Linked DNA regions of Tamandua tetradactyla. The protein of the gene in region 2 interacts with the protein of the main gene of each other region in a biochemical or structural test. Links are inferred from orthologs where the notes say so. Each region holds a gene or a part of one and is shown on either strand. Other genes may lie near its edges.

Region 1 (3,743 bases), on a different chromosome or scaffold from region 2:
CCACAACTCGCCAACCCTTGTTGGAGCCGTTATCAGTTCATCTGGTTGTTATCAATAGGCTAAAGGTGCCATCTCAGGGGTATTTTAAATTTGCATCTTCATTTTTAAAAAGTCAGCTATACGGCCTTGCCGTGCATTGAAAGAGTGAGGCCTGTGAAAAGACATGATTGGGACATTTGGAAAAATTGGGATACAAGTCTGCATGTCAAAGTTCTTGAACTTGATAACTGCACTTAAGGTGGTGACATGAATGGCTATGCTTGTTCTCAGGAAATGTGCATGGAAGTAGCAACTGTTCAAAAAGCGTGATGTATTCAGTGTGCTTGCAAATGTTTAGAAGACAGATGGATTTCTAGAATGATACAACGAATGGGGCAAAATGTTAAAAGCTGGTATATCTGGGGAAGGGGGACATAGGTGTATCTATGTTTTTTGTTTGTTTTTGCGTCTTTCCTGTAAGTTTGAAGTTATTTCAAAATAAAAAAAAAATTTTTTTAAAGGGAGGCACATGAAACTAGCTGTCTGGAATATCGAATGTGCCAATTCCCTGCCCATGCCCTAAATTACACCCAAGGAGATCCAAAGAAAGGCTCCCAAACGGTGCTGGAACTTTCCAAGGCAGTCTTCCCCAGATCCACCACTGAGCACCCAAGGCCCTCCCAGGCTGCGGGGTGGGGGGTGGGGGTGGGGCTTGCGTCCCTGCCCTCTCGGGCCAGCCACTCACAGTAAACGGTGAGCGCAGTGGAAGCTATGGTCTGTTTGTTGCAATATGAGAAGCAGATCGCAGTGCTGTCTTGGTCCACGTCGCTCAGTTCAAAGACCTTCCAGTTGCTTCCATTGGCCACCTCCATCTTGGTCAGTGTGGTCTCCAGGCCCAAGAAGGAGGGGTGGTCACAGCTGGCACTGCAGTTCACGCGCACGGAACCTCCTCGGGGCAGGATGGCTTCTGGGGGGTCCACTGACGTGTGGGTACTTCCAGACCCTGGAAGAAAAGGGTTGTTTAACTCTAAGGAGGGGGCAGGCATATACAAGTTGGGGGCATCGACAACGTGTATTGAGCACTGACTGTGTGCCCAGCGCAGGCTGGGGGCCCGGGCCACAGCTGTGAACCAGACAAAACTCCCTGATTTAGTTGTGGGAGACAGAAAAGTTCACGAGTAAACAAGGCAGTCAATAACCAATGTCAATAAGGATTTTGACAAGAAACAAAGTGCTAGGGACAGAAAAGTGAGCGCTTACATGGCAGGGTGCGTTCTCAGCAGAGAGCTGAGTGATAAGGAGCTGGCTGCCCAGGGAAAAAGGAAGTGAGTTCCACATTAAGGGAACCGTAAGTGCAAAGGTCCTGGGGCAGCATGGCTGGGGTCAAGCGGGCAAGGAAATGAGGTCAGGCCCATCAGGCGGGCAGTGGAGGCCAGGCTGAGGACGTGTCCTTTATTCTGAATGCAATGAGAAGTCATGGGACTTGCAGTGGGTTCTGGGGTCCCTCCTGAGAGGTCAGGTGAGAGGAGCCAGTCTTCTAGGAACTGAGGGCTTTCCAATCAGGCTGGTGTTCGCTGCCTTGGACAAGTGGTTTCCTTTCTCTGGGCTCCTTCACACTCCCATCTGTAAGTTGGGAGAGTATAGTCACCCCACCCCCTTGCCCACCATGTTAGTAACTCCTGGCGCCCCACAGGGAGCAAGAGGCTGCAGGGAAGAAGGCAAGGAGGGGGTCATTTTCATTAACTCCGATCAGACCCTGGAGTCTCTCTGAGCTCCCACCCCCCAAAAGATTCCTGCCTTCTTAGATCTGCTCAGATCTAGCATGGAGGTGGGGGTGGAGAGTGGACAGGGACTACAAAAACCATCTGACAGTGGTTCTCAGATCATTCCCATTTCACAGAGGGAAATGGTGAGGTCGGGAGAGGGGTGGCTCAGCTAGAAAGGGTTTGAGCTGGCACTAGAGCCTAGAGACAAACTTCCAAGCTCCTGCTACCCAGCAGGACCATCAGTTGAGACTCGTTTTCCTCCCCCCCTTCCCCAGTCCCCAGCTGGGCTGGCTGAAGTTGGAGGGAAGGGCTGGCTGGGTGCTTCTCCCCGCCTCCCAGCTCTCAGAATCTGCCCCTGGGTAAGACCGTTCTGGAATTCCCCTGAGCGAAGCAATCCTGGAGATCCCCCGGGTCAGAGGATAAGGAACAGAAAGTGTGCTCGTGTGGGGGCTGGGGGGATAGGGTGGAGAGGGGTCCCTGAGCCTGTGCAGCTTGGGGGCGGGGTCCCCCTCGTTCCTATCAGGTACTGGCAGCCTCCTGGCGTCGCAGGGCTCTCAAGTTCTGCCTTTTACAACTGGGAAATCTGAGGTTCTGGAGGCGCGAGGTCTGGATTCGAATCCACCGCTGTTCTTTTCCGATCAGGGGTCCCCCATAAAGGCCCTGGGCCACTTCACTCGGAGATAAACACGTTTTCTAAGTTCGATCGGTCTTAACGCCTGCGGTCCCGGAGCCGCTGCTCCCCGACGGGGCGCACCCCCACCCCGACCCCCGCCTGCAACTCACCTGGGAGCAGAGCCCCGAGCAGGGCCAGGAGCGCGGGGAGCGCGGGGAGCGCGGGGCGGGTGCGGCCGGGATCCATAGCGACGCAGAGCAGGGCGGGAGGGATGCACCGAAGCGCAGGGCTGCAGGGCGCTGGCTGCGGCGCAGGGCGCGCGGCCGCCCTTTATAGGTCCTGGCCGCAGGGGGCCGGGGGCGGTGTCGCCTTCCCGGAAACCTCGCGCCTTCCCCCTTCGAAGCAGGCCTCAGGCATTTCCGGATCGAGAGGGCGCCGGGCCCGCGCGGAGTCTTTGCCGCTCGCCGGCCGCTCGAGCACCGGAATTTCCGTGCTGAGGCAATCCCGGGGGGCGCGGGGGGAGGGTGGTGGTGGCAGTCCCGTCCCCCCCCCCACCCCGGCGGGGTCAACCTGGATTGAGCGTTGACATGGAGCTGCTGAGCGCATGATGGCACACAGCGCTTCCGGCCACCCTGGAGAGGAGGGACGGGTTTGGGGTGTCCTGTTTTACAGACGGGTAAACTGAGGCTCCGAGCCGCGAAGGGATTCGAACCCAGGACTGAGTCCCCAGCTCGTGCAGACCCATTCCTTTAACCGAGTGGGGGCGAGCCCCTCGCTGGGGTGGGGGCCCACCCTCGGATGGAGGGCGCCTCTTCCCCCCAGAGGCATGTCCGGGCACCTCCGCCTGGCTGACCTCGAGATTTCCCGAGAAGTGGTGGAGGCAAGTTCAGGCACCTCGAGGTGCCGTGTGACCACGGGGGAGGACAGCGGGAGGCGTCGTCAAGTCCGGGGGGTCAAACGGCGCTCCGCACTCACCCCCCACCATGAGCGCGCCCACCCCCACGGCTTCGCTTCCCCTTTCTGCCAAAAAAGGAAGGAAGCTGCTTGGTCCTAACGCTCGGAGCCGCCTGGCTTCGGTGTGGTCTCGGGCTCCGCGGGGAAACTGAGGCAGCAGCTCAGCCCTTGACCCGGACAGAGACAGGGGGTGCTGGAACCCTACTCTTGCTCTCCGTAGGGCGCGGAGAGGGGCGCTTGTATCACTGCCCTTGGGTGCGCAGCTCCCGCCCCTCGAAACCTGGGAGCCGGCACTAAATATGCGCCAATGTTTACCCGGACTGGCTTCATTAGGCCGTGGGGGTGGGGGAGGCGGGGGCTTTTCCGACGACCTCGATGTCGCTCCCTCGGGCCACGGCCTGCGCGTGAAACCCCAAGATCCTGCCCCCGGC
Region 2 (3,743 bases):
CCCAGGGCGGCTGCGGCTCCGCAGACGAGGACGCAGGGTGCTGGGCCCACTGCTCCGGTGGGGGGCCGGTGCTGGGCCCAGGTGGGGCGAGCACGCAGCCCCGCAGAGCCGGGGCCCCCCGGAATGGGGACGTCTGCGGGGTCGGCACCGCGTGGTGGGTGCTGACTTGCTCCCACAGCCCCGAGCCGGTCCCCGGGCTCTGCAGCCAGGAGCACGGGAGCCTCTGGCTGTTTTTAGCCAAACACCCTGCCGGAGGGCGAAGCAGCGTGCTGGGAGTCATCTTTGCCACAAATCAGCCAGGGAACTCCGTCTGGGTCACTTTCGCCTCCACCTTCCAGAAAGTTCCGTATACCTCATCAGACACTCAGGGAGGACTTTCCCTGTGCTGGGGCCCTGTGCGGGTCCAGTGTAGGGGGCAAAGCTGCCGTGGGAACGGCAGGAGGAGAGGGAGCCCCCAAAGGGCCGTCCAGGCAGGGGGGCGCCGGGCAGCCAGGAGGGGAGAGGGTGAGGGGCTGGGGGCCTCCCACGGGCCGGCTGCCCTGAGCTCCGGTCTGTGCACCCCCCACTGCACTGCCCAGCCCCAGACACAGCCCTGGGACACACAGAACCGAACCGGTACAGAGGCTTCTGGAAGTGTCCACCAAGGAGAGGGCACTGGACATAACCACATACAAATGCAGACATCCTTACCATGTGATCATGACCGTATGATCATTCCATTCTTGATACATAATCAATAACTCAACATCATCGCATAGTTGTGTATTCATCATCATGATCATTTCTTAGAACATTTGCATCAATTCAGAAAAAGAAATATAAAGAAAACAAAAAAATTCATACATACCATACCCCTTACCCCTCCCCTTCATTGATCACTAGCATTTCAATCTACTAAATTTATTTTAATATTTGTTCCCCCTATTATTTATTTATTTTTAATCCATATGTTTTACTCATCTGTCCATAAGGTAAATATGGTTTTCACAGTCACACAGTCACATCGCAAAAGCTATATCATTATACAGTCATCTTCAAGAAACATGGCTGCTGGAACACAGCTCTACATTTTCATGAAGTTCCCTCCAGCCTCTCCATTACACCTTATCTAAAAAGGTGATATCTACTTAATGCATAAGAATAACCTCCAGGATAACCTCTTGACTCTGTTTGGAATCTCTCAGCCATTGACACTTAATCTGACTCATTTCCCTCTTCCCCCTTTTGGTCCAGAAGGTTTTCTCAATCCCTTGGTGCTGAGTCCCAGCCCATCCTAGAATTTCTGTCCCACGCTGGCAGGAAGGTCCACACCTCTGGGAGCGTGGCCTATGCTCAGCCGAGCCGGCCCCTCCTGCGCCCCCTGCCCGCTCCCGGCGCCCGCGCCTCTGCCAACTTCCTCCCTCCCATCCAGCCCTTGTCTTTTCTGGGCCCTTCCCCGCCCCCGCTGTCCAACATTTCTTCCCACCAGTAACTTCCCGTTGCAATGTCAACTGGGCTGTGGCCCCACGGTAGGGGTGGGGGGCGGGCACAGCACCCAGAGATGCGTGGGGCGCAGGGGCAGGTGAGCGTGGCAGGAAACGGCAGCGCTGGATGCGGGGTGCTGGCTCCGAGGGCTTCTTTCTCATCGGAACCCCCCGCCCTGGAAGACCGGGCCGCACCTCTGCTCGCCCTGATCACCCAGCCAGGGCACCGCGGAGGCCCCAGAGGGCGACTCCTGTCCCTGGGCAGGCGGGGTGGGGGCTGGCTCGGGCGAGAAGGCGGCCGGGGTGCGAGAGGCTGGGGCTGCCCCCACCCCCGTGCTGTCCCGAGGCTGGCTGGTGCCTCACCCCCACCCCCTGCACGGCCCCCCCAACCCACAGAGAGCTCCTTCCTCCTTCAGCCTTCCCCTTTGCAGCCGGTGCCTCCCGGGGTCGGGGGGGTGGCGAGCGGTGGCCCCGAGAGGGGGTAGCAGGAGGGGGCGGCGGGGGGGGAGGGCCAGCGGGGCCCAGGGCCCTCTTGCTCCCCAACCCTCGTCAGAACCCACGACGAGGGGGCGCGTCTGACGTGGCAGGAAGGAAAGAGGCGACTTTTTGTAAATTCAGAGGAAATTAAGCAAGTAAAAACATTGAGCAATTGTGGACTCCAGGGGAAGGGGGACAACAAAGAGTCATCAAGGAGGAAAACGTGATGGTCCTGTGTCCACTCGGCTCAGTAGGGGACACTTACGTGGTTAGACTAACTAAAGCAGTGAACGTGGATTACAAACAAAACCGACACAAATCCATGAAAGGGGGGGCGGGATGGGGTGCACAGTGAACGCCCTCATCCACTCACGCGGGGGCAGCCCAGGCATTCCTGCCCTTCAGCTCCCCTCCTCGGGCACCACAGAGGCTGGGCTGGCTTTGGGGGGCCCCTGCAGGAGGTGGGGAGCCTCACCCAGGCCCACCCCATTAGACTTGGGGTCCCCACCTGCCCTTGGAGCATACAGCGCCTCTTCTGCCTGACGCTTATCAAAACTGCAATTTCCTGCTCAATTTCTGCTTTGAACCCATCCTCAAACCGAGTCCCCCAGGGCTGGCTTCGGGGAAGCTTGGCCATTGAAAGTCTGGCTGCCTTGTCAAAGCGTGTGCTTCCACCACAGAGCCCTGTGACTCAGTTTCCACGGGTGCTTTCTCACAATGCCTCTGCCTGGGGTCAGCCCGGGCGGCATGGAGGAGGAGGCTGGGGCTGGGCCCCGCCCGCCGGGCCCACACCGCGTGAGGACGGGGCACGCATGGGACCCCCGCGCGGGAAAATCACAGCCATCCGCCGTGCTCTGAGAGTGGGACTGCCCCTTGACTTACGTTTCTTCCCTCTGAAGTTTCTGCTGCTATTTTCCAGCTCCTGAAACTGGGGGATTAATTTAATCTTTGCGCCAGTTTCTTGGCCCGCAATGAGCGGGAATGAAGGAGCGCCCTGCTCACTTTACAGCACCGAGGTGCCAGGGAGGCGCTGGGCTTCTCGGCCCTGGAGGGGATGGAGGAAGAAGGAAGCAGGGGAGGGGCGGGGCTCCGAGGCCTCCCCGCCCCAGGGGAAGGCGGGTTCCTGTGGGCGGAGGTTTGGGGGGACAGGTAAAGCACGTGGGCAGACCCTCGCATCAGCCCCCCACACCTTCGGCCTCCTCACCTCCCTCCAGGGGACCCGCCTCAGTGGAACCCAGCTCCCTGCCACGTCCCTGGGCGCACCTGGGGGTCCCACCGCAGGACTGACAGGCATGTCCCACCCGGGGGGTCGGCCCTGTCCCTAACTGCCGGGGAGCTGACCCCTGGCTCATGTCCAGGGAACTGTGTGGAGGTGCGCAGGCCTGGGGGGTACCCTCTCGGGGTCTTGGTCTCCTCTCCACCATGTGAGGAGGGGGTCACGGCGGCTGTGTGTCCCAAGGGTTGAAGGGGAGAAGGGGGCAGAGGACAGTCCCCTCCAGGTTGGCTCGGGGCCGGGTGGGTGGTGGCCCCTGTCAAGGGCAGAGAGTGGACATGGGCACCACGTGACCACATGGCTGCCACCACAGCCCCTGTGAAGGCCCGCTCTGTTTGCACACTCAGGTGCAGGGCCCTGGTGTGGGGGGCCGGGGTTTTCACACGGGAACCCAGAAACCCTGGGCCTGGGTTGCTTGTCAGGATGCAGTCTCGCTGGCCCACGGCCAGCCCAGGGGGGCCCCGGGCTGAAACTCTCATGAAGCAGCACCAGCTCCCGCGTTCCCACAGGCACCCCAAGGGGGGGTGCCC

Evidence for each region.
Region 1: the proteins of ITGB2 (region 2) and ICAM1 form a complex in vitro, tested with the Homo sapiens proteins (4 studies listed by BioGRID). The link is inferred for Tamandua tetradactyla from reciprocal best matches to the Homo sapiens genes ITGB2 and ICAM1.

The regions. Positions count from the first base shown.
Region 1 is NC_135337.1:91,498,991-91,502,733, forward strand, and holds the start of ICAM1 (intercellular adhesion molecule 1), read right to left. Parts: upstream 2,656-3,743; 5' UTR 2,605-2,655; coding exon 2,529-2,604; intron 983-2,528; coding exon 725-982; intron 1-724. UniProt on the Homo sapiens protein: ICAM proteins are ligands for the leukocyte adhesion protein LFA-1 (integrin alpha-L/beta-2).
Region 2 is NC_135336.1:107,129,864-107,133,606, forward strand, and holds the start of ITGB2 (integrin beta-2), read right to left. Parts: upstream 3,021-3,743; 5' UTR 2,823-3,020; intron 1-2,822.